2 linked regions of the Cricetulus griseus genome follow. The protein of the gene in region 2 interacts with the protein of the main gene of each other region in a pairwise test. Links are inferred from orthologs where the notes say so. Each region holds a gene or a part of one and is shown on either strand. Other genes may lie near its edges. The genes, in order: Pex26 and Pex6.

What was found.
Region 1: the proteins of Pex6 (region 2) and Pex26 come close enough for resonance energy transfer, tested with the Homo sapiens proteins (2 studies listed by BioGRID). The link is inferred for Cricetulus griseus from reciprocal best matches to the Homo sapiens genes PEX6 and PEX26.

What each region holds. Positions count from the first base shown.
Region 1 is NC_048601.1:23,703,555-23,716,104, reverse strand, and holds the start of Pex26 (peroxisome assembly protein 26), read left to right. Parts: upstream 1-4,356; 5' UTR 4,357-4,686; coding exon 4,687-4,904; intron 4,905-5,823; coding exon 5,824-5,964; intron 5,965-7,384; coding exon 7,385-7,680; intron 7,681-10,393; coding exon 10,394-10,540; intron 10,541-12,550. UniProt on the Homo sapiens protein: Peroxisomal docking factor that anchors PEX1 and PEX6 to peroxisome membranes. PEX26 is therefore required for the formation of the PEX1-PEX6 AAA ATPase complex, a complex that mediates the extraction of the PEX5 receptor from peroxisomal membrane.
Region 2 is NW_023276806.1:256,129,896-256,141,809, reverse strand, and holds the start of Pex6 (peroxisome biogenesis factor 6), read right to left. Parts: upstream 11,045-11,914; 5' UTR 11,003-11,044; coding exon 10,121-11,002; intron 8,656-10,120; coding exon 8,492-8,655; intron 8,105-8,491; coding exon 8,021-8,104; intron 7,086-8,020; coding exon 6,972-7,085; intron 3,331-6,971; coding exon 3,228-3,330; intron 3,149-3,227; coding exon 3,015-3,148; intron 2,521-3,014; coding exon 2,409-2,520; intron 2,116-2,408; coding exon 1,907-2,115; intron 1,477-1,906; coding exon 1,281-1,476; intron 1,092-1,280; coding exon 1,015-1,091; intron 760-1,014; coding exon 627-759; intron 556-626; coding exon 350-555; intron 253-349; coding exon 191-252; intron 1-190. UniProt on the Homo sapiens protein: Component of the PEX1-PEX6 AAA ATPase complex, a protein dislocase complex that mediates the ATP-dependent extraction of the PEX5 receptor from peroxisomal membranes, an essential step for PEX5 recycling.

The sequences.
Region 1 (12,550 bases), on a different chromosome or scaffold from region 2:
CTAAAAGTAAGATCACAAAGATTCCAGAATCTGGAGGTGAAGAATACTTTCTGTTCCTTATTTGAGTCTGAATATGTGACAGCTTCATTAGCCTGAAGGATGCCACAGCTTTGCAGGCTCAGTGGGTTATCCCAATCTCCCGATGCTCACAGCTGGTACATGCTAGTGCCCACATCCTTAGAGAAGACTGAAGCACAGGGAAGTTGGATAGGTACATGGAGGTCAGGCAGCTTTGTCGCAAACAGAACCAAGAATGTAACCTGTGTTTCACTCTTCTTCTTTCACAGCAGGGTACCATCCTGTAGACACCTGCATGTGAAGAGCTGAGTCCTGAGGGTGTCACATAGAAGAAAGAGCACCACATCACAGACAGGCACTAGGAGCTGGGATAAGATGAGGAGACATGTGTCTCATTCACTCTGCTGGTCCCCTCCCCCCCAGTGAGATAATCCCACCAATACAGATACTAACTCGGGCCAGGCCTTGTTGACTGGGAGAACTGTACTTATTTCTATTCCTGGTATTTCATGGATGAGTCAATGAAAGGAAGGTAGGTACTTTCCAAACATCCTGCATCAAGGGCCCTGGGTTAGGAAGAAATCTCCAAAAAAGAGGACAGTGGGTCACTGCAGTAGTGTGTTGGGGAGTCAGTTTGCCAAAGGTTAGGTGCTAACATTGAGACCACTGTGAAGCCCCAAATGTACAGCTGAAGATCAAGTGAAACAAATAAATGAAGCACAAGCTTATTTTTATTAACATTTATTGTGTATTAACTGTACAAAATAATGGGTTTCATTGTGATGTTTTAACAAATGCATTTAGCACACACTGACACTATTTTATTTTTATATGAGTTTAGCACATCCCACTCCTGCTTTAAATATCTTGACCTCATTCTGGTTATTGTACCATTAGAGAAATTTGTCTGGTAAGAAAGATTTTTTAAGGCTATTCTGCCATCTGCTGGACAAACCTGGAATAGTGAGAAATTTGTTAGGTGGTAAGAAAAACATTTCCTGGCCTCAATCACACAGTGGTGACTCTATTTGGTGGCAGCTTCAGTTTGCCTATGTCCTTCTTGTTCTTGTTCTTGTTCTTGTTCTTGTTCTTGTTCTTCTTCTTGTTGTTCTTGTTCTTCTTCTTCTTCTTCTTCTTCTTCTTCTTCTTCTTCTTCTTCTTCTTCTTCTTTCTTCTTTCTTCTTCAATTCATTTTTTTGCCAGGCAGTGGTGGCACACACCTTTAATCCCAGCACTCAGGAGGCAGAGGCAGGTGGATCTCTGTGAGTTTGAGGCCAGCCTGGTCTTACAAAGTGAGTTCCAGGGCAGCCAGGACTACTACACAGAGAAACCCTCTCTCAAAAAGCAAAAAACAAAACAAAACAAAATTTGTGTTCTATTTTTTGCTGCTCTCTCAGTTCTGACTGTTCTGGCCTCTTAGGCCAGAGGTTGACATTGGGCATCTTCCTCTATTGCTCTTCAACGTATCTTTCAGAGGTTGGGTCTCTCACCGAACCTGGAGCTCATTGATTTGGCTATCTTGGGTAGCTAATAAGTCCCAGAGATTTTCCTGTTTCCACTTCAGATGCCTGGATTACAGGTGTCTGCCACTGCACCTGGTTTTTTGTTTTGTTTTGGTTTTGTTTGTTTGTTTTTTAATACGGCTGTTGAGAATCCAAGATCAGGTCCTTATATTTGCAACTGATCGAGTCACCAGCTGAGCCACCTCCCAATTTCTGCTCTTCTGAGTTTTCAGAGTATACTTTTAAACTCAGTTTAAGGGTCTAGAGAGAAGGCTCAGAGGTTAATAGCACTTACTGCTCTTCCACAGGACCCAGGTTTAAGTTTCAACACCCAGATGGTGATTCACAAACATCTGTAACTCCATAGATTGGGGGATCCAATATAACACCCTCTTCTGGTCTCCGCAGGCACCAGGCATGCGTGTGATACACAGACATAATGCAGCAAAACACCCATCCACATTAAATTAAAAAAAAAAACCAACAATTTAGTTTGAGAAACAGATGAGCTGTTATGTTTTGCAACCCCATAATTATGTTATTACTAATGATCTTAACCATTTAATGTTCCATTGGAGGCAGAGCTGACAGAATATTTTGGCAGTCTCAGTCCCTGCAACCCACATGCTAAGTATCTCTGCTTTGTTTTAGTGTTTGCTTCAGGGGGGTAAATGCTGTCTGTTGATGAAGGAGGTCTCCTCACAATGACACAGAGAATATGTTGGTTCCAAACACTGACCCCCAATAACAAGGACCAGTGCAGTGCAAAAAGGCCATATTTTCTGTGTGTTGTGCCCCTGTCTCTGGACTTGCTGTTAGAAAACAGAGGCAAACGCATCTATTGTGCTGGCCTCTCCATGGTTGCCCCCATCTCCCTTCTCTTTCTCCTTAGTCTTTATCATCTGACAACACCATTGACTCTATTTTACTTGCTTGAATGTATGTATGTACTCATGTACATATATATTTAGAAATGGGGTTCTTGCTGTGTTGCCCAGACTGCTCTCCAGTTCCTGGCCTCAAAATAATCTCTCCATATCAACTGCAGAAGTAACTGGGTCTACAGGCATGTACATTTGTTTATTAATAAGCTCTTGTTTATTTTCGTTGTTTGTTTCCTTCCGTTATGATCCAAGCTCCTGAAGGCTCTGTCCTTGATTTCTATGGGACCCCCAGTGTCTGCCACACAGTGTAAGGCCAGTGAGACGGCTTAGCGAGTAAAGGAGCTTACCCCCAAGCCTGGTGACCTGAGGTTGATCTCCAAGACACAAATAGAAGAAGGAGAAAACGGACTCCTGCAGGCTGTCCTTTTACCTCTATCTACACTTGTGCTGTGGCTACCTGGAGGCACACAAAAAATGTAGAAAAATTAAAAAAATATTTTAGATTTATTTATCTTATTTTATGTGTGTGAGTGTTTTGCCTGCATGTATGTATGAGCACCATGTGCATTCCTGGTGCCCCAGGAAGTCAGAAAAAGGCATTGAATCCTCTGGAACTAGAGGACAGATGGTCGTGAGTGGCTCTGTGGGTGCCGGGAACTGAACCTAGGTCTTCCATGAGGACAAGTGCTCTTAACCACTGAGCTATCTATCTCTCCAGTCCTTAGGGGAAAAACAAATTAAGCAGTATTTTAAATGAGTGGCACCTTTTCACCTTACACAGTCACAGTACCAGCGTCTGACAGACTTGACATTTCTGTCTCAGCGGCCTGAGGACTTTCTGTAGAGACTTACAGGCTGTTGTAAGCAATAAGACATGTATGAGGTGAGCAGGTCCTGGCCTGGTGCCTAGCTGTCATATCCAGTCACTACGGGAGCAAATGGTTCTAGGAAAGCTTGGGAGAGAGTTCAGAGGCTAGAGAACTGGGCAAAAGTAAAACAAGAATACATGTAGAGGAGTTAGGAAACCCTGCCTGAAGCACACAGATAATGATTGATTTATGTGTCTGTGTAAAATTATGTAACAGCAAGCTAGTGTATAATAGCAAGTGGTAGCAGTCTGATCCCTGAGTTCGGGGCCATCATGGTCTACAAAGTGAGTTCCAGGAAAGCCGGGACTACACAGAGAAACCCTATCTCAAAAGACAAACAAACAAACAAACAAACAAACCATATGTAATAGCTGCAACTTAGCATTTCTTACTTTGGTCTCAGTACTGTACTGAACAATTGCATTACACCTGCATGGCTTTGCTTTTATGATATCTTTATTTTATGTAAACAATGCAGGTCCCAGGAGCTTATGTAACTCACTTGTGTGTTGTTGGTTAATCTACTGAGTGCAAAGCGTAGATCAGTTATATCTCCACCCCGACATTCCTTTCAGTCAAAAAGTGCTTCTTTGGTTTGACAGTGTTTTTGTGACCTACCTCGACTGTAAAATAGAGTAATAACTCATAGAGATGATGAAATAACTAAGAATGCACGGAAAGCACGTTGCACTGTGCCACACTTTAAAAGTAAAGAACCCAGGAAGGGGAAATAGCTAGTTCGGTGTTTCATTGTCCTACGCTCCCTGTCAACGCACCCCTTCGGAAGTTCAGAATAAAGGTGCAGGTAGCTCCACCTCCTTACTGGGCCTCTTCCGGTTCGTGAGAGAAGGATCGTATTTCACAGGACACAGGCGATTTTACTAATGGTTTAGCTGCCCCACCTTTTCCAACCCAAAGCTGGTGAGCTGGTGCGTTCTCTGGAGGATGACAGTCTCCGGGTGCCAGAGGTTTGAGGTTGTAGTGGGAACGCTCCCCTAAGCGTCGCAGAGACAAGAGGCCAGGACTACAACTCCCAGAGTCCCGCGCTCCAGGGCGCGCGCGTGCGCCGTAGTGGCGGGGCGGAGGCGGAGTTGTCAAGCTCTTGTGGGTAGTTAGAGTAGGGCGAGCTTGCGACTCTGGGAGCTCGGGTGCTTCCAGCGCTTGTCTGGGGTGTGGGAGGAGCAAGTGCCTGGCGTTCGGCAGCATCACGACGTATATGCAGGCCAGTCCCGCCAGAGTTAGGCTGTCGGTGAGCGCGGGCTGTGCCTCGGGTCCAGCATCTTCATGGTCCTTTCCTAGGATCTGACCTGGAGAGGCGTGGAGCACAACGCCTGCCGGTCATCTGTCGGGCCCATTCCGGATTTCTAGCAGGCTCCTGACGTGTGAGGAGACCCGGCCGAGCCAAGGCTGGCTATGAAGAACGACGCCTCGACTTCTGCAGCCCTCATGAAAGGGCTCGTGGGCCCTTTGCGGAGCAGCGAGCCTGCGCGTGCCCTTCCGGCTGTGCCACCCGCGGTGTACCTGCTGGAGGAGGCGGCCGACCTGTTAGTGGTGCATCTGGACTTCCACGCCGCATTAGAGACTTGCGAACGGGCTTGGCAGAGCTTGGCCGAGGAGCCCACAAGTGGCACGTATGTGCTGGGCTGCCTTCCTTTCTGATCCTTTTGGGGAGGACTTTCTGGCATTGCCAGATTGCACCAACCTGACACCTTGCTTTCACTAGGGGATCCTCTCTGGGAGAGGCTGGTTGCTCATTCTGCACCCGTGCTCCTGAGGAAGAAAGGGTCACGTACAATAAAGAAGTCAAATCATGAACAGTTTGGGGGATAGCCACAGCCAGTTCTTCGCTCACTCTTTCAGTGCAGGAGGACAGGGTGGATGTCAATTAAGTGTTCAGTTGTGAGGGGTTCAGTTGTCAGGGAGCAGGAGGCCTCCTTTGGGGACCCACCCCTTATTCACTCCTGGTTTTGTCAGATCATGGACATGGGGTCAAGGCAGAGTGGTCTGGTCCGGTTGAAGGGTTGGATGAATTACTTTTAGGAAATCTTTGCCCCCGGGTTGCTCATTCTAATGCATAGACCTCCTCTGGCAGCTGGGGGCACCATTGCTCTGTGGAGCGTTACCTTCCTTAGGGCTATATGAACATACTAAGGAGGAGTAGGCAGAATGAATAGTCCAATTTGATAGCAGAGAAATAAAACCTGGAGAAATTGGCTGTGGTTTTAGGGGGGCAGAGGTTGCACATCGAATGTTGAGGGCTTTGCTTCTGAGCATCTGGACATAGCTAATTCTTAGAGGCCAGTTGAGTTTCTATAGAAACACCTGGCCAGACACCTCTCCAAGCCCACCTGTCACTAAGCAAATTCTTGCTGCCCACTCTCCGTCAACACACCTGGTGGCTGCATGCCATTTCCAAGATTACCTTCCGGCTCATTCAGTTCTGACTGGGTGGTAGCCTCCGAGTGGAAGCTGGATGCCTGTCTGAGTGGAAGAGGGGAATGGAGAGAGGGGAAGCACTTGTAACCCTGACTCGTGTCTTTCCGCTGACAGTGTTGTGGAGGTGAAGTGCTCCCTGTGTGTCGTGGGGATCCAGGCTCTGGCAGAAATGAATCGGTGGAGAGAAGTCCTGTCCTGGGTCCTCCAGTATTATCAGGTTCCTGAAAAGCTTCCTCCCAAAGTCCTGGAGCTATGGTAAGTTCCTCGTGCTGACATTGGGCCAGTGTAGGAACACAAGTCCCTTCTTGAGTCAGGGTCTCATGACTCCTTCATCCTCCTTCTCGTCAGTTTCCTTCAAGTTCAGGTCTCCCCACTTTGTTCAGACCTCAGACCACAGCAGCTAAGGATGAGGAAGCCGTGTTTGGGAGTAGGGTACAAGAAAAGAGAGCACACACTGGTAATAGTGAAGCAGTCTAATGAGGGGACAGGGCCAATCAAGCATCCTGCTGCCTCCCGGAGATCCCCCCCCATTTTGGTGTGTATTTGTGTGTGTGTGTGTGTGTGTGTGTGTGTGTGTGTGTGTGTGTGTGTGTGTGTTCGCGTGCCTGCGTGCCTGAGTGCCTGCGTGCGTGCGTGCATGGAGATTAGAGAAGGGTATTTGGAGTCCTCCATCATTCTCTGCTTTATTCCTCTGAGGCAGGGCCTCTTTCTGAAGCTGAAGCTCACCTTCTTTCTTGGCTAGGTTATTAGCCAGCAAGACCCAGTGATCCTCCTGTCTCTTCCCCCCTCAATGCTGGAATTACAGATGTGGGTAGAACCACATTAGGCTTGTTACGTGGGTGCCAGCCTCCCCTCCCCAATTCTGATCCTCAGGATTGTACAGATAATGCTCTTTAAAAAGTATTTTACTTTTTGCTTTATTATGTGTATGGGTGTTTTGCCTGAATGTATTACATGCATTGCATGTATGCACTACATGCGTGCCTGATGCCCACAGATGCCAGAGAAGGGTGTTGAATTCCCTGGAACTTCAGTTATAAACAGTTGTAAGACTCCATGTGGGTGCTGAGAATTGAACCTGGGTCCTTTGGAGGAACAGCCAGTGCTCTTAACCTCTGAGGCATCTCTCAAGTCCTCAGTATCCATTTTTTTTTCCTGTGTAATAGCCTTGGCTGTCCTAGAACTAATTTTGTAGACCAGGCTGGCCTCGAACTCACAGAGATCCACCTGCCTCTGTCTCCGGAGTGATGGGATTAAAGGCATGTACCACCACCACCAAGCACAATCTCTAATTCTTAAAATTATTGTTATTATCTAGAAAATTTGTGTGTGTGTGAGAGTGTGTGTGTGTGAGTACGAGCACATGTGTACACATGAGTGCCAGTGCCCTTGGAGGCCAGGAAATTGTCTCAGATATCCCAGAGCTGGAGTTACAGGTGATTGTAAACTGTTCAATATGAGTGTTGTGAATCAAACTCCAGTCCTCTGTGAGAGAAGTACGCACTACTAATCACTATCTCTCCAACCTTCCAGTTTTTAATTCTTAACAGTGTCCGTATCCCCAGGGAAGGGCTGGAGGACCTGGGAGGGTGGGATTACAGAACTTTGTGGTTTTGAGAATGAGCCAGCTGTAGAGTACTGATTCTTTTCTTTTGGGGATTGTTTGGGGACACAGCATCCTTTTATACAGCAAAATGCGAGAGCCAAGAGCTGTGCTGGCTATGGCTGATGCCTGGCTCCAAGACCCAGACAACCAGGGCCTTCCTGAGTATGGATCACTGGCAGAACTCCACCTGCTCCGGGTGCTGCTACCCTTGGGCCGCTTGTCAGAGGCTGAGGGGCTGGCAGTGGGCTCTGCAGCTTTCAGCGAAGAGCAGCGGGAAGCAGTGCTCCAGGCCATCTGCACAGCAAGGCAACAGCACACACGGGAGCATTTGAGTTCTCAGGAGCAGCAGCAGATGAGCCAGGAAGGTAGGACATCAGGGCTCTATGGCCTCTGCAAAGGGGTCCCATGGCATCCCCTGTACCAAGTTTAGGAACTTGAAGATTTAAGTCACTGTGTCATATTACAAACCAAGCTAGATCCTCCGAAATTGGGGAGGTGTTGAGTCCCCTGACCCTGATTTGTCTCCCAGTTTTGGGGACTAAAGGCTGATTGTGGTAGTGTACAACTTTAACCCCAGCACCTGGGAGGCAGAGGAAGGTGGATCTCTATGAGTTCAAGGACAGCCTGGTCTATGGAGTGAGTTCTATGACAGCCAGAGCTACACAGAGAAATCCTGTCTTGAAAAAACAAAACAAAAAAGAAAGAGACGTCACCTTCCTTTGGAATCTGATTGGTCATTTCCTTGGGATCCTTTCTAGTTTTTTTGCTTCTATCATACTGGTCTGGGAGCTGTTACGCCTCCTTTAAATGCTGGCCCTATTAGACACACAGCTTAACTCATTAACTCATGAAATAAAAATGACCTCCTTCAGCTTTGGGTCTTTATGCACCGTCTCCTATCTGCCTTCACTTAACCAGAGCTTTGAGTGTTTGTGTTTTTAGCTGAGGTCTGCCGTGTTCATTTACATGCAGTTGTGCTACCCAGTGTCTTCTGGTAGCATCCTCACAAGGCAGTGGCACGGAGCTGGGAGTGGGTTGTTCTGTTGCAGGAACCTAAAGGCCCCTGGCCCCAAACCATCACTGCACCTCAGTCTTTTCAGTCCCTTTCCTTCAGCCTGTGTGTGAACACTTCCGAGGTTAGAACATTACCTGTCTCTTGGAGCAGTGCTTTCTGTCCATTTTTAAAGATTTATTTTTTATTATTTTAAATTATGCCTATGTATATGTCTGTGTATGGATGTGGGTGTGTGAATGCAGGTACCCATGGAGGCTAGAGATCCCCCTGGGGCTGGAGTTACAGGCAGTTGTGAACCCCAGAATGTGGATGCCAGGAACTGAACACATAATGTGTGTGTGTAAACTTTATTATAGAAAAGATTGTATCCCTTTTATTTGCTGTGATATCACTTTATTGTGTGGTGGCATAAATAAACTAAATAAAAATTTGGATATGAAAAAAGTGATTGTAGATTAAAACAAAACAACAACAAAATAAAACACACACCAAAATTAATGAGACTGAAAGACTATACAATTCAATGATCTTCTATACAGTTTGAATAGCCATTCGGAACAGAAGCTGTGGAGTTTCACAGTGGATTTTATACTTCCACATTAAATATATTTTTCGGTACTTAGCCACCATCAGAAGCAAAATATCCATTTCAGAGTAGAACTAGAAAGACAATTGGCTTTATGCCTTCTTCTAACATCTTCTGTCTTTGGACAGCTTAGGGATTGTTAAATTTTCTTCTTTTTAAAATGTACATGAAAGCCTGTCATTAATTAGGAAATTATAACTCTGTTCTCCAAAGTACTTTTCTCTGTGGACCTGCTGGGATCTTAGGCCTGCTTTGCTGTCAGGTTGTTGGTTTCAGGAGTTGCCTGTGGCTGCCAGGCCTTCTACCTTTGCCTTAGTTAGGTTTCTATTGCTGTGATAAAACACTATGACCAAAAGCAATTTGAAGAGGAAAGGGTTTATTTCATCTTACACTTCCCCGTCACAGTCCATTATTAAAGGAAGTCAGGGCAGGAACTGAAGACAGGAACCTGGAGGCAGGAACTGATGTAGAAGTCATGTGGGGAGGGGTGCTGCTTACTGACCTGATCCTCTTGGCTTGGTCAGCCTGCTTTTTTTATGTTTATTTTATTTTTTATTAGTTTTTTTAAGGTTACACTACAAAGCAGTTGGTTTCATTTATGGCATTTCTTAATTTATTTTTCATTTTACATACCAATCTGTTTCCATTCCCTCTTCTCCCCCTTCTTCCTACCTTCTATCCACTCCTCAGAGGGGGTAAAGGCCTTCCTTGGGGAATTAACAGCCTGCTTTCTTACAGAACCCAGGACCACCATCCAGGGGTGTCCTACCCCTGTGGGATAGGCTCACACACATCAATAATTAATCAAGAAAATGCTCCCCAGGATTGCTCCCAGGGCAATCTGGTGGGAGCATTGTCTCAGTAGAGGTTCTCTCTTCCCAAGTGACATGAAACTTAATAGCACAACCGTAATCCCTGTGGCAAGTCCAGGGGCTTCTGTCAGGACTGGCCCTGTTTGTCTTTGGGCTACTAGTAATCATGATTTTATTCACAATCCCAGTCTTGAATTCTCTACTGCATATATTAAAGGCCCTTCATTTCGAGGTGTTACTGTGTCACTAGTAAGGCTCTGAGTTATTTTACTCATGTCAGTTTGTAAGATTGACAAATGCTGTAAAATAAGGGGGCTGTTCCCAGACACACACTTACACAGCTGAGCAGGTCTCATGTGCACTGACTGTGTCTTCATACAGTCCTTAGAACATCTTTGGATGGCTGTGGGTGCAGCTGAGTGGTAGAATACTTGCCAAGTATCTGCAAGGTCATGGATCTGTTCCCAGCATGGCAGAAGCTGAACTGAACCTCCAAACAAACAATGTCATTCTTAGAGTTCTCTGAGTTTTCTTTTGAACTATTTCATGAGCCGAGGAAATCATTCTCATCGTATTTTGATTGACTCTTCAGATCTGGCTCAAGGCTCAGAGCCAGGGAAACTGATCTGCCTGACTCACCCTGCAATGCTCTGTCCCCTGGTCAGGTTCTTTCTCCCATAAGCTGATGTCACTGCTGAGGTTGCTTCGCCGGCTTTGGGACGCTGCGGCGAGCCACCTCCTCTCTCAGCCCTTCAAAAAGAGCCTCCTGGCCGCCTTGATCCTCTGTCTCCTGGTTCTGCGGTTTGACCCAGGTGAGTGAAGGGCACCTACAGCAGGGCCTGTGAGGGCAGGTGCCCCTGAGACAGAGCCACCCTCTGTGACATTGTTCTCTGAGCCTCTTCCATAAAAAATAAGAGTCAACTTCACATGGCAGGAGAGTCCAGGCCTGGAACCTAGGAGAACAGTTGGAGAACATTTCCCGCCCTGCTGATGGAGTCACCTAGGCCTCTGCTCCATCCAGGGATGACCTCTAGTCAGAATGCAAGATAAGGACGCCTTCCTTATCGATAACACCTAAAATAGAGTCTGTTGATCAGGTGTCTCCTGGCTAGTGTGACCTTGAATTGTAAGTGAAATTCTGATGTATTTTAGAAGATGTGGGAAAGTAACTGGAAAGCTTGATGATCTGGTTACAGAACCCTCCCTGCTGGTATGTGCTGGGCCTCGGGGAATTATGGGAAAATAACTGGAAACAGCTTGGTGATCTTATGGCTATAGAACCCTCCCTTGCTGATATGTGCTGGGCCTCAAGGTGGTTCGTCTCTTCTCCTTCACTGTAACATAGAGATGAGCTTTCCAAGTGAGACTTGGGAACACACCTGGTGGTTTCCTGAGGAGTGATCACCCAGATGTGCAGACACTGGGCCATAGTTAGGGGGCCATTATTTGAGAAACACCCTTCTCCACCTAAACAAACAAACAAACAAACGGTCTTGCTGTCAGTACAGAGTGTCCTCTAATGTTTTTGTTTCAGCCTCCCAAATGCTGCAATTGCAGGTGTGCATCCATCCCCAAGCCAGGTTTTCTGTCTTACCCTTGCTTTATGAATTGTGGTCTAGCCTCTACTTCTTTCAAGAATTTAGATGTAGGGTAGAGTCACGCAACTTTCAAAACCAAGGGGAAATGAAAATCCTTTATTTTGGTCCATTCATTTTCTTTCATTTTTGGTTGAGAAATCTAATAACCAGAGAGGCAAAGTGACTAGACCAGAGTCACACATCTCCCTGTTTTTAAAGCTGTCAGCTTTTGACTTTAGGTCCTTGTTTTTCTCACTTCTCCTTTTCTTTAGTTAGAGTTTGTCTGTTTGCTGGATTCTGAGAAGGAATGTCTCCCCTGGACAATTATATAGGAAAGTCACCTGCAGCTTCCAGAAATGCTGAAAAAGACCAGCAAGCAGCCACACCTGTTGTGGGAAGCGTACTCTCAGACTGGAAAAATACATTTAAGAAAGGGACATTTAGTCTGTGTGGTTTATGCCTGTCCCTGACTTCTACTCTGTAGACGTGACAAGAATTTAGAAATTCTTTATGACTTCCCCCAAACCCCTTTGTGTCATAAACTCTGATCATCTAAATGGTGATGCAGAAAGCTGTTTGAACTTGGGTGTGTCCTGGGTCACTCAGAGCATCCCCAGATGTGCCCTGGTCCTCAGGAGAGGAGGACCTGGGGGTGGGCTGCAAACAGAACTTGGAAGGAGGAGGTCAGTTACTTTAAAGAAAAATAACATGTGTGGAGGGTTAGGGGTAGTTTTCGGTGGTAGATGGCTTACATAGCTTTTGTGAAGCCCTGGTTTCACCCCCAACCTTAGAGGACTAAATAAATACCTTTCTTCCCTTCCATCATGTGTGCACTGAACCTGGATCTTGCCATGGGATTACAGGCTCATGCTCCTACGGTGCCTGGCTTTCACGTGGGTGTTCAGGATTCAAACCAGGGTCTTCACACTTGTTCCACAAGGACTTTACCCACTGAGCCCTCTCCTTAGTCCTAAACACTGCTTTTTCCCGTTTGAGGGGCAGCACTGTGTGTGTCTCGTGTTGTCCAGCCTGGTCTCAACCTCTAGTCCCAGCTAAGCTCCTGCTTCGGCCTTCTAAGGGCCTGGGGTATTTCTTCTGCTTAAGAAAGAAATATGTATTTCTTAATTAGAGGCCGTGGATGAGCTGAGATACCATGTTTGCCTGGTATGTACTGAGGCCTGGTATGTACTCAGGCACCGCATGAGACCTGGTATGGTGGCACATCCCTGTGGTTCCAGCATTTAG
Region 2 (11,914 bases):
GAAAGGAGAGTGGTGTCGAGGAGCTTCAAATCAGGGGAGGGGGATGGGAAATGGGTCTTGACAGTTGAGCACAGGCAGCTGAGGCAATTGCCCAACTGGGTTGACCGTGAGCAACAGCTTGGGGGAGGGAGGTGGCACTAGGGCCACTGGGGTTGAAGAAGGACCCCAGGCCCCCTCCCTGCTCACTCACCTTCCCGCACATTCTCCTCACTCTGGCCCACATACATGTTGATGAGCTCTGGTCCCTTTACACTGAGCAACAGAGTGGGCGAGTGAGACCCATCAGATGTGTATAGTGGGTACAGCTGTCTTCTCTTCCCTCCCACATGTCCTTCCAAGCACTGCCCACCTGAGGAAGGTGAGGCTGCACTCAGTGGCTACTGCCTTGGCCAAGAGGGTCTTGCCAGTGCCCGGTGGCCCATGGAGTAGAAGGCCTGATCGTCTCAGGCCCAGGCTTAGCAGCTCAGGATGTTCCAGAGGAAGCTGGATGGTCTCCAGGATCTCCTTCTTTACATCCTGCAGCCCACCCACATCGTGCCAGGACACTGAAGGGATCTAGGAGACAGAGGAGTGTAGGGAGGTGACAGGAAGGAGCGCTTGCCCCACCTTGAGGACCTAGTTCTCACCTTGGGTGCGCCCACAGCTTGGGAGTGAGCTGTTTGCAATTGATCTAAGGCTTGCCCAAAGTCCTCGGCCAGCAGGGGAAAGCCAGCTGCACACAGCTCCCCCTCATCCTCCTCACTCAAGCCACCTGCCAAACTACAAAGAGAAACACAGGCTAGGCTTACACCTGTAAGACTACACAGTAAGTTCTAGGGCAGCTAAGGCTGAGACCCTGTCTTAATAAAAAAAAAAAAAAAAAAAAAAAAAAAGGACCAGGCCAACCAGGCTACAGATTAAGACTGCCACAAAACAACAGAGAGAACAAGAGAGTAAGACAAGACCACCTCTCTGCAGGTTTCATTGCCTTCTCCCCACCTCACCAGCTACCCCCCTATGGTGAGTTCCTCTTACCCCGAGGCTCTGATCCTGGCACAGGCTACCCGGCTGGTATGGGTGAGCAGGGCATAAAGGTCCCCTACCACGAAGCCCTATGGATTTATACAAAAAGACACATGAGCATGGTGTAGCAGGCAGAGCCCATGGGGTCTGAACTCCAGCTGAGCAGAGGCTTTGGTTGTTTCCTGTCTCACAGGACACCACCTCATGCAGGACCAAAGTCCTATGTGTGACAATGAACCTATGACCTCCCAGAGTCAAGGCACCTGTGTAATACTCACTGCACAGCGCCGTGCCAGCTGCAACAGGTTCACCTCCTGGCCCAAGGGAAGGTGGGCAGTGAGGGCCTGCAGGACACTGAGCCGCTGTTCCTCAGACAGCACTGGCACCTCCAGCTCATGAGGAAACGCTGTATGCACATCGGTGGGCAGGTCCTGGGCACGGCTTGTGGTGGCCACCACCATCAGAGGAGGGCAACTGCAGACAGAGGAATGGGCACAGAGTGAGAACATGGCTGGCAGTTCTTGAGGTTGGTGTCAGGATTGGGCAGAGACAAGCGCCATCCAAAGCCCCAGCACAAGTTGTGGGAGCACCATTAAGTGGGGATCTGTGTGGACAGGGGGAGCTCACTGAGAACAAAGGCTTCAACCTAGTGTTTCCTGCAAAATGCTAGACTATACACCCTGCTTCCCCTGGAGACTCCTACAAATATCAGTGAGATTTCTGAGAAGCCAGCAGGGATGAGGAAATGAGGAATAAAGGGCTGAAAAGACTTAGGAGAGGCCGGGTGTTGGTGGCGCACGCCTTTAATCCCAGCACTCCGGAGGCAGAGGCAGGCGGATCTCTGTGAGTTCGAGACCAGCCTGGTCTCCAGAGCGAGTGCCAGGAGAGGCCTTCCCTTCCTCACTTGCTGACGGGGTCCTCATCAAGGAGGAGGTGACGCAGTGTGGCCACCACACGGGCATCCTCATCCAGCCCATCGCGGTCCCGACCCAGAAGGTCTATAGCTGTCAGCAACAGGACAGCAGGCCTGCAGCGGCGGGCCCGGGAGAAGGCTGCCTGCAGCTTTGTCTCCACAGCCCCACTGCTGTCTGCACAGAGGCTATAGCAGGGTACCTGTGAAGAGAGAAGGGGTTGGTCTGACCAGGCTAGAGAGGTGGGAGGAGTCAAAAGTGGATCATCTTCTCTGTGGAGGGCAGGGATGGGCGAAGGAGGAGCACTGGCCAGGTCTTAGCTTTTGTTCACCCTGTCCATTCCTGGGACTGTGAGGACCTGAGTAACTGAGCATTGTGGGCTGTGTGTTAGCCTGGACTAGTGGGCTCAAGGGCTGCTAGATGGTAATGAGAGAACACAAAGGAAGAGAGAGAAAGGCAGAATCTGGACTGAGGGGAAGTGGTTGGGGTTCTCACCTTCAGTAAATGGAGCCCAAGGCGACTACATGCAGCTGTGACTGCTGTGGTCTTCCCACTGCCTGGAGGGCCCTGAAGCAGCACACAGCTGGTTCCCGTGAGCAAGGTTCCTCTGCAATTAGAGAATATACAGTCTCCCACTTTCTGTCCAAATGTTAAGACCACAGTAACATAGGGACCCTTGGACCTCAAAAGCACTGTTTCTGCTTGTGCCTCCCTACCTGCCCCCCCATTCAGGCTGTCTGCACTCTGGCCCTGTCTCTCATGTTCAGGCAGAGGCACAGCAACTAGACACAGACACAGTGCTTCCAGGAAAGCCTAGCTTGATAGCTCTGGTCTGAAGAACAAAGGGAGGGGGTCTGGGTTTAGACTTGGGGCACTTCATCCTTGGGGGATGGAGAGATAAAGGCCAGGATGGATCATGGGTTTCCTAAGCAGAAAAGCAGACAGAGAGCCACCTGGGAGTCTGCTGGTGGCCTGGCCTAGGTGTTCTGGCTTGTGGGCCCCCACTCTGGGTAGACCACTGGGAGTTATTTTCCTGGACACTGCTCTGCAGGGATGCTCTGGGCAGGCCCTTCTCATGGCCTGGATTTACACCTCACTCACCCAGGCTGCAGGTGAGGCTTTAGGATAGCACAGAGCTCATTCACCAGGGCCTCCAGGCCTGGAGGAGACAAGCTGTCCCAGGGAGTGGACCTTCCTGAAGGCAGCAGTGGAACACGACTCAGGGCAGAACCTGCCTGCGAAAGGTAGGAGGGAGCCCATGGTTCTATAGTGCCCCTACCCCATTGCCAGGTCTCCTCCTGCCCAAGGCCTTACCATGTATAGAGAGGTGTGGGTGGTATCTGCCAGGAAGGCACTGGCTGGCCCATCTGGGGCTTCCCCAACTGCTTTCTTCACTTTAAAAAACACCTCCCGCCACCTGCAAGAAAGAGGGCCAAGGAACCCAAGACCTAGAGTCCACGTCTGCCCCTCTCCAAGAGCAGGTGGCTTTCTCACAAAGGACACACAGGCGCAGCATGGGTGGGTACCCTGAGGCTGACGTGATGGTGGGAGCTGGGGAGAGTAGAAATCAGCCGGTCCTATCTCTCTGACTGACTGACCATAACACATCCGAGGGCAGTTGCATCTGCCCTTCTGCACCTCCGTTACAACCATTAGATAGCCCCTGGAGGGCATTTCTACAGGCACATGTCCTAGCCACCCACTTCAAAAGGTAAAGCCACCATCATTAAGCACTGCAACCTATGGCCACTTCCTCTGGTTTCAGAACAGTCTCTCTCCAATACCTCTGCACCAGGGCCCCAGACCTCAGATAAAAGTCTCCCTGGTTTTTCATTCAGTAATCCAACAAATGCCATCTAACTCTAGTCCTGGGTAGGCTGTCAGGAAGGTCGTGAGGTAGACAGGCTATGCTGCAGTGAGATGAGTAATTCTCTATTCTGGAATTGTCTGTGAAGCTTTAGAAATAAATATTTTTCATGTTTTTGACAGGTTGAAAACTGCCAGAATCTGGGGGAAAGGGAAAATAGGGAATGATTACTAGTGGGTAGTGTCTTTTTGTGGTTAGAAAAGTTCAAGAATTAAAGATGTTTGCACAAAATTTTGTTAACTACAACAAAAAACAATTATACACTTGTTTATTTTGAAAGGGGTCTCTCTGTGTCTCCTAGAATGACCTCAAATTCATAACCTGAAGTGATCCTCTGTCTCAGTCTCTCAAGTAGGTGGAATGGTGGGTACATGCCACCATGACCATGAATTGTACACTTTAAAAGGGTAAGAAAGGGGCTGGAGAGATGGCTCAGTGGTTAAGAGCATTGGCTGTTCTTCTAGAGGTCCTGAGTTCAATTCCCAGCACCCACATGGTGGCTCAAAACCATCTATAATGGGATCTGATCCCCTCTTCTATCATGCAGATGTACAGGAAGACAGAATACTCATATAAATAAATCTAAAAAAAGGTAAAAAAGGGGGTAAGAGAGGCCTCAATGGTGGCATTTACCCTTAACCCCTGACTCTGGAGGCATAGGCAGGAGGATCTCTGAGACTCCAAGGCCAACCTTGTTTACATAGCAAGTTCCAGGACAGCAAGGACTACATAGAGAGACCCTGTCTCAAACTCCCCCACTCTCAAAAAGAGTGTAAGAAGCTAGGTTGTAGTCAAGGTCTTCCAGTCTCAGAATCATACCCCCCCCCACTCCACTGGGGCCAACCAGATAGCTCAGCAGGTGAAGGTATTTGCTACCAAGCCTGACTTCATGAGTTGGAACTCATGAGGTAGGAGAAAACTGACTCCTACAAGTTGTCTTCTGACCTCCATAAGCTCTTGAACACGGACAGACCACAGGCTCATTCATCGTGTTCTAGCCCAGTGTCTGGGTGTGTTAGGCATCTGTATTTTATGCAATCTGAAGGCTTAACCAGGCCTAAGCAGTCACACCCAGTGTCACCCACTGTGAATCAGAAGTACTTACTCTACTAATGGGGAGGAGGGTAAGTGCAGACAGCAGCTAGAAACTCAGTCTCCCAGACAGAGACTTCTCCCTTTAATTCTTAGGCGGTGAGATGCCAGGAACAACTGTACTCTAGGCCTCTCTAAGACCCTTCAGGATGCAATCCCCTTTACTCAAAATGTCATATAGTTAGTTACCAAGTTGCCTGCTCTGGCAGCAAAGGTGGTGGGAGTACTTCAAATGAGAGGAAGCTGAGTGTACAGCCTTGAACCTCTATCATGCCAGAAATCTTGTCCGTATATCCTGGATACAGTGCATAAGAAAGCAATGAGGGGGTGGCACTGTGGGGGGCTAGGAAGGGACGGCCTTCTTCAGCAGAAGGTAGTGCTCCACTTCATGAAGCAGAAAGGCCAGCCAGCTAGACTTTACCAGAGCACTACTGAGGATACATTGGTTGTGTTTCAAAACGCCAGGGATCAGGGGGCCACAGTGGGAGGCAGTGAGGCTGAGGACTCCCAGGTAGCACTGGTTGGTGAAGCAGAGCACAGGGGAGGCCGAGTGTGTCATCAATAGTGGAATTCCTTTCTAGGGAACCCAAGGAGCTCCTGGGTTTCCCTCATCCTGCCTCGGTGGCCTCAAGTCCTATACCTGCCCTTGAACTCAGCCCTGTTCATGAAGCTCTGTGCTCAGCACCTAGAAGACAGGCGGGTTTCTGGAGCTGGGTCAGCAGCAGTCCAGAGAATGATCTACCACCTGCTTTCCTTTGACAGTATCAAGTGTGGGTGGCTTCAGTTTTTCTACAGAAAACTAAGGCAGGGACTGTGAGCTTAGTTCAGTTGGTAGAATGCGTGCCTAGCCTAACCAGTGTCACCATGAATTAGAGGTATTTAAGCTACTCATCGTGAAGAGGGTGACCAGCCAGCGGCTAGCATGAAGCCCTGGGTCTGTTCGAGGCACCATGTGAAGTGTGTGTGTATACCTATAAATCTTAGGAGTCAGGAGGTAGAAACAGGAAGATTAGACGTTCAAGGCCGTCATTCACACATAGATTTTGAGGTTAGCCTGGGTTATATGAAGCCCTTTCCCAAAAAATCACCCAAGTTGGGCTGGAAAGATGGCTCAGAGGTTAAGAGCACTGGCTGCTCTTCCAGAGGTCCTGAGTTCAATTCCCAGCAACCACATGGTGGCTCACAACCATCTATAATGAGATCTGGTGCCCTCTTCTGGTGTACAGATATACATGGAAGCAGAATGTTGTATACATAATAAATAAAAATCTTAAAAAAAAAAAAAAAGCCCAAGTCAAGTTGGGCATGGTGGTGCATGCCTTTAATTCCAGAATTTGAGTGGTGGAGGCAGATGGGTATCTGTGATTTCCAAGCCAGCCAGAGATACATAATAAGACCCTGTCTCAAAACAAAACAACTAAGTCAGGCATGGTAATCCTAGCACTCAGGCTAGGCCTGGAGAACTGCTGCAAGTTCAAGGTCATTCTGGGTTACATAGTGAGTTTGAGATTACTCTGAGCTACAGAGTAAGACCCTGGCTCAAAAATACACCCCTGTTGGGCTGGAGAGTTGGCTGGGAGGTTAAGAGCACTGCCTGCTCTTCCAGAGGTCTTGAGTTCAGTTCCCAGCAACCACATGGTAGCTCACAACCATCTGTAATGAGATATGGTGCCCTTTTCTGGCTTTCATGGATACATGCAAACAGAACACTGTATACATAATAAATAAATCTTAAAAAAAAAAAAAAAACACCCCTGTGATGGCTGGGCAGTGGTGGCGCAAGCCTTTAATCCCAGCACCCAGAAGGCAAAGGCAGGTGAGTCTCTGTGAGTTCAAGGCCAGCCTGGTCTACAGTACAGGTTCCAAGGCAGTCAAAGCGACACAGATAAAATATGTCTCAAAAAACAAACAAGCAACCCCCCCCAACCACTAACAACACCGCACCACCACACACACACACACACACACACACACACACACACACACACACACACACACACACATCACTAGCTCTTTGGCACTGTTCAACACACAGAGGCAAGAGAGACTGCCAAGCACCAGCCTAGATGCCAGGCCCTGATGTGGACTAGGGTTACTACCACAGGAAGCACCAGGTGCCAATAAGGACGAAGCTCTGGATGTTGACAAAGGTGAGCCAGGCATTTCTTGCAGGGTGTCTAACTTGGCATAGGTCACAGGACGAGGCAGATAACCTGCAAATGATAGCTGTCAAAGTTGGGCTAGCCTCTCTATCAACCATGCTCCCTAATAAAATATGATGGGACCAGTCCTCCCTTAAAGCCCCTGGCACTTTTGAGGGTTTTCTTTGCCTTAGTAAATCTACCTAATTTAGGTTTTAAATAAACCTAAAAACAACAAAAGCAGGGAAGGGCAGCAAGATGGCTCATCAGGTAAAGGCACTTGCTGCCAAACCTAATAACTTAAGTTCTATTCCCAAACCCTGTAAGGTAGGTAAGATCCTTCTCCTCAGAGTAATCCTCTGACCCCCACATGTGCACTGTGGCACCCATGCGTGTGTTCAGACTCAGACTCAGACACACACCCACCCACACCCCCACCCCACAAGGCAAACATAAAAGAAGAAAAAAACCAAGAAATGGAAAACCAGTCTAGAAAAGACAGAGGACTACTGCCGAGGATACAATTACATTTTCTTTCCTTCACAGAAGGCCTGGCTGGCCTTGAACTCATGATCTTTCTACCTCTATCTCCCAAGTGTTACATGTACAGATGTACACCACCACCCCCAACTTGTATGTGCTGGGGATTGAACCAGGGCCTCAGTCAAGCCAGGCAAGCGCTCCACACTTAACTGCAGCTCCCGCTCTGTTAAAGTGTTTGTTCACTCAGTGTTGTGTGTCTGCACATGTGTGCTAGGAATCAAATACAGACCAGACCTCCTCACATGCTAGGCAAGTACTTTACCACTACTTATACCCCAACCCTGGGCAGTGATTCTTAATCTGTCTTTGGTTGTGTCCACTCAGGAACCAGAAAGTGCATTTCCTGTCTCCAGCAGTAACAAAATATCTTTTGGCACAAAACCATTACATACAACTTGGGAGGAGACTGTTGAACTGCACTCAGCTCATGACTCTAGACTGTAGATAAGGAGGCAGCTGCATACCTGGGCAGTTTCTCCGGGCTTCCTTCCAGAATCTCAACTTGCCCAACTGTTGGCACACACAGAACATCCCCTTCCTGGACCACCCTGCAACACATCAGTGGCTTCAGTCAGCTCACAGTGGGATTGTCAGGAGTGCGCCTGGCACATCTGGGCCTATTCAGCAATTTTCTAGGGAACAATTAGACTTAGATTGAGCTGGCGAAATGGTGGTGAGACTAGAAATGGGATCAAAGACCAGGGACAGAGAGCACCCCTGGCTCTTTTGGAATATTCTTTGACCAAACAGTCCCTTTTTCTTAGAATGTCCAAATTCACCTCATGGTCATTCCACAGCTCCCAGGCACAACACTGCCTATAATGCAGTTCTCTTAAGCCAGTAGCCCTGGGGTACCTGGGCCTGAGGCATGGGATGGGAGGAGAGGAGAGAGACAAGGAGAGGTGTTCTTTTCCTTAAGAGGCATAACAGCTAACCTGGGTGTATGAAAGTGCCGGTAAAGAACATGGTCATAATCTCCATTAGCGCTGTAGTGAGGTGAGGACACAATTTCAATGTGTAACTCTCTAGCAAACGGAGGCCCAGACATCAGTGAACAGCTTCCTCTGTCTTCAGGGATGATGGAGCCTTCCAAATACCTCTAATGGAGAGACAACCACCACCTTACAACCTCCAAGGAGACAGGTTTACCCTCTAGTGGCCAGTGTCTACATCTGCCTTCTGTCTTTACAGTATCAAGGCTAGCAGCCTGAGGGAGTCAAACTACATACACCCAAAGCTCTCCTAATGCGTACCAAAAAGCTGTCTGCAAAGGGGAATCTTTCTAGGCCTTTGAAAGACAACTCCATCTCCCCAGTGTTGGGATTACAGGCATGCACCACCGTGCCCTGCCCCTACACTCTTTGACTGACACCAGGCAGCTGCTGGAATTGACACTGAGTTTTGGCTGTGGGAAAAGGATATGGTTTTGTTGTCCCATTCTACAGCTCAGGCTGACAGTCAACTCAGCTTCTCAAGTTCTAAGTATATAGACAGGAGCCACCATAGCCTAACCAAAAGAAAAGGGCTGTTTCAACACACCAGTTGTCTTCAGTCAGAAGGAACCCCACATCTACTGTTACTCACATGGGGATGTCTTAGTGGACTTGTTTGGTTGATGTGGTTTGGGTGCTAGGAATGGATCCAGGGCTTCTCTGGGGCTGGTCCAGTGCTCTTCCACTGAGCCTAACCCTAGCCTCCCATCTCATAGTATTAACTGGTCTTTTACCTAACAAGTTTCCACACTGATGGGCAGGTTCTGTTTGTACATATGACCACTGGGTACCTGAGAGGAGTTAGATCAACTAAAAAACTGGTGTTGTTTTAGCTAGTTGATTAACTTTAAGTGGCTACTGGCTTCTTTTCAAGCCAGCACCAACCTAAGGCATACGCATATGCTTAGAAACCAAACAGTAGTGGCCCCCAAGCAAACTGTACTTTTAAAAGTAAAGGCAGAAACCAAAACACTTCAAGAATGTCTCTTAAATGTATTTAATAAGCTATTAAATACCAGGTACCAAAGATAACAAAGAGCCCTTTCAAGGAATTTACAATATATGATTGAGGACTAGACAGATTATGTAATCACGAGAAAGAATAAGTATTCTAACAAAGATTCAAAAGGCTATAGGGGGAGGAAATGATGTTAAAAGTTATGGTACTGAGATCATAAAACGATTTAAAGAGTTTTTATTTTTTATGTAGGCCTTGAAGTAAAGGATGGTAGAATTTTGTCAGATAAAGTTAGAACAGGAAGTCAATGAAAATCATAAGCCGAAGGTACCAAGACACCATTCTACTGTAGCAACCCAGTTACGGATTAGCGGGAGTACGAGTGTGCACATCTGGCACTTGACAGGGAACCTCACCTGTCACCTCAACACATGAAAGCTCTTCCCATGCACCTACGCTATGGAGACACGGTCTGATTGATAATAGAGAACCGGTAAACAAGGCTAAGAGACCGTAAGTGCAAAGTTCAGGCACAGGGGACCTACATTTTACAGCTAGCCTTCTAATTCAGTTAGACAGGTAAGAGGGCAGAAGGAAAAGGAAGCATTCCTGACCTGAATTCTGAGCTCTCCCACTTCCAGGGGATCACAGCCGAGATTAAAAGCCAAAGTAGCAGGCACAAACACCAGTCCGTCAGCGAGTGGTTCTCCCAGCTGTCCAGAGCTGGGTCCCAGTCTCTCGGACAGGTCCCAGCGAGGTTCTAGGAGCTGTACTTTAGCCAAATGCGGCTGGGATGTGTTTGGGAACTCTCCGACCCGGGCCACCCATACCCATTCGCCCTGGAAGAGCCCGAGACCCCGGAGACAGCTCCGGGTCACACCCAGTGCATCTCCAGTCCCTCCCAAGACCCCTTTAAGTTGCCGGACTGCGTGGGAAACGGCAAAGGAGGACGCCACGGGCGGGGGTGGGAGACGGCTGTGTTGCGTACTCTCAGGGCCCAGCTTGGCCCGCCCGCGGAGCTCGGTTACAGCCAGCCGCGTCCCTGGGCCCAGCAGCCCTTGCAAGGCCGGTCGCGTCTCCAGCACTCGCGAGCCGGGCACGGGCAGGCTCTCCCCGCGGCGCACCAGCAGCGGCCCGACTCGAGGCCCAGGCCCGGGCCCGGGAGCCGAGCCCAGCAGCGCCCAGCCCAGCGCCGGAGGCCGCCGCACAGGCCGCGCTCGCACTCGCGCCCCGGGACCTAGCGCCAGGAGCCGCAGCAACGCCCGGCTCACCAGCAGCTGCGGAGGTCCCGGCCCTCGCTGCCCGTTCTGGGAGCCCGGGCCCTCCAGGGCCGCAACGAGCAGCGCGGGCCCCGCAGGGCTTTCGCTTGCTGGCCGCAGCGCCAGCACTAGGCCCAGCCCTGTGGCAGGCCACGGGCCCCCGGGCGGCAACAGCACCGCCAACGGAGGCGTCTCAGCCGGGAAGGGGTCCAGGACGCGCAAGACAGCAAGCGCCATGGCCACTGAGAAAGCCAGCACCTCCACTTCCGGAACTAGCGACCGGAAAGCTCGCGGGCGCGAGAGGCGCTTCCGCTTCCGGCAGGAAAATGGGCGGGGCGCCGGGGGCAGAGTCCGCCCCTGGGGACGACGTACAGGGCTGGTTCCCCAGCTGCCGCCGTAATCGCCGACGCATGCGCCCTTTGGGTCTGCGTGCAGGAGCCTTTACCTTTGCTTTTCGGTAGGGGAAATCACGCCCTCTCGGTTATCGTGCCCCGTAACACGTACTCAATATCTGATTGATCAAGAGTGGCTGGTGTCAAAAGTGGAAGGAATCCACTTTTTTTTTTTCCTGAGGAAATCGTAGTTTGTCCCGCTCATCTGTAGGTTTGCGGTGAACCTTGTAAGAGGGAGTTGTAGGATCATAAAACTGTTCCAGACAGGCTTGTGTGTATGCAGTTATGTAGGGGCTGCTGACTGAATCGCTGCCTGTGATTCATGTAGCCCCGCAGTTGGTGCTGCCCCCGCAGCCCCACACAAAGCCCATGTTCCAGCGCCGCGGCTCCTAGGTGTTCACTCCCGCCAAACTCTCAGATTGAGCAGTTTAACCTCTTCCCTCAAACCCGTTGCTCTGCCCTACTAACCCTCGGAGACCCATTCTCAGTTTCTACCCCAGAGAAGGGAAAGGAAAGGGCTAGAGGCTTCTGTGATGGGAACTGAGCCAACAGCCTGTACTGTGACTTAGATTTCATCTTTGTCTGCGCTCTACTGCTCCATGACATTCAGGGATAAGTCACATTTCCAGTTCACAGTTACCGAGTTTTTGCTTCCTTACATTTAGTCAATATTTTGGATGGTGGCGATCGCCTTTTTCTGAATCTTGTATTTTCTTCCAGCGATTGTTGGCCTTTCTCCTTTTTATTGCAGTTGAGC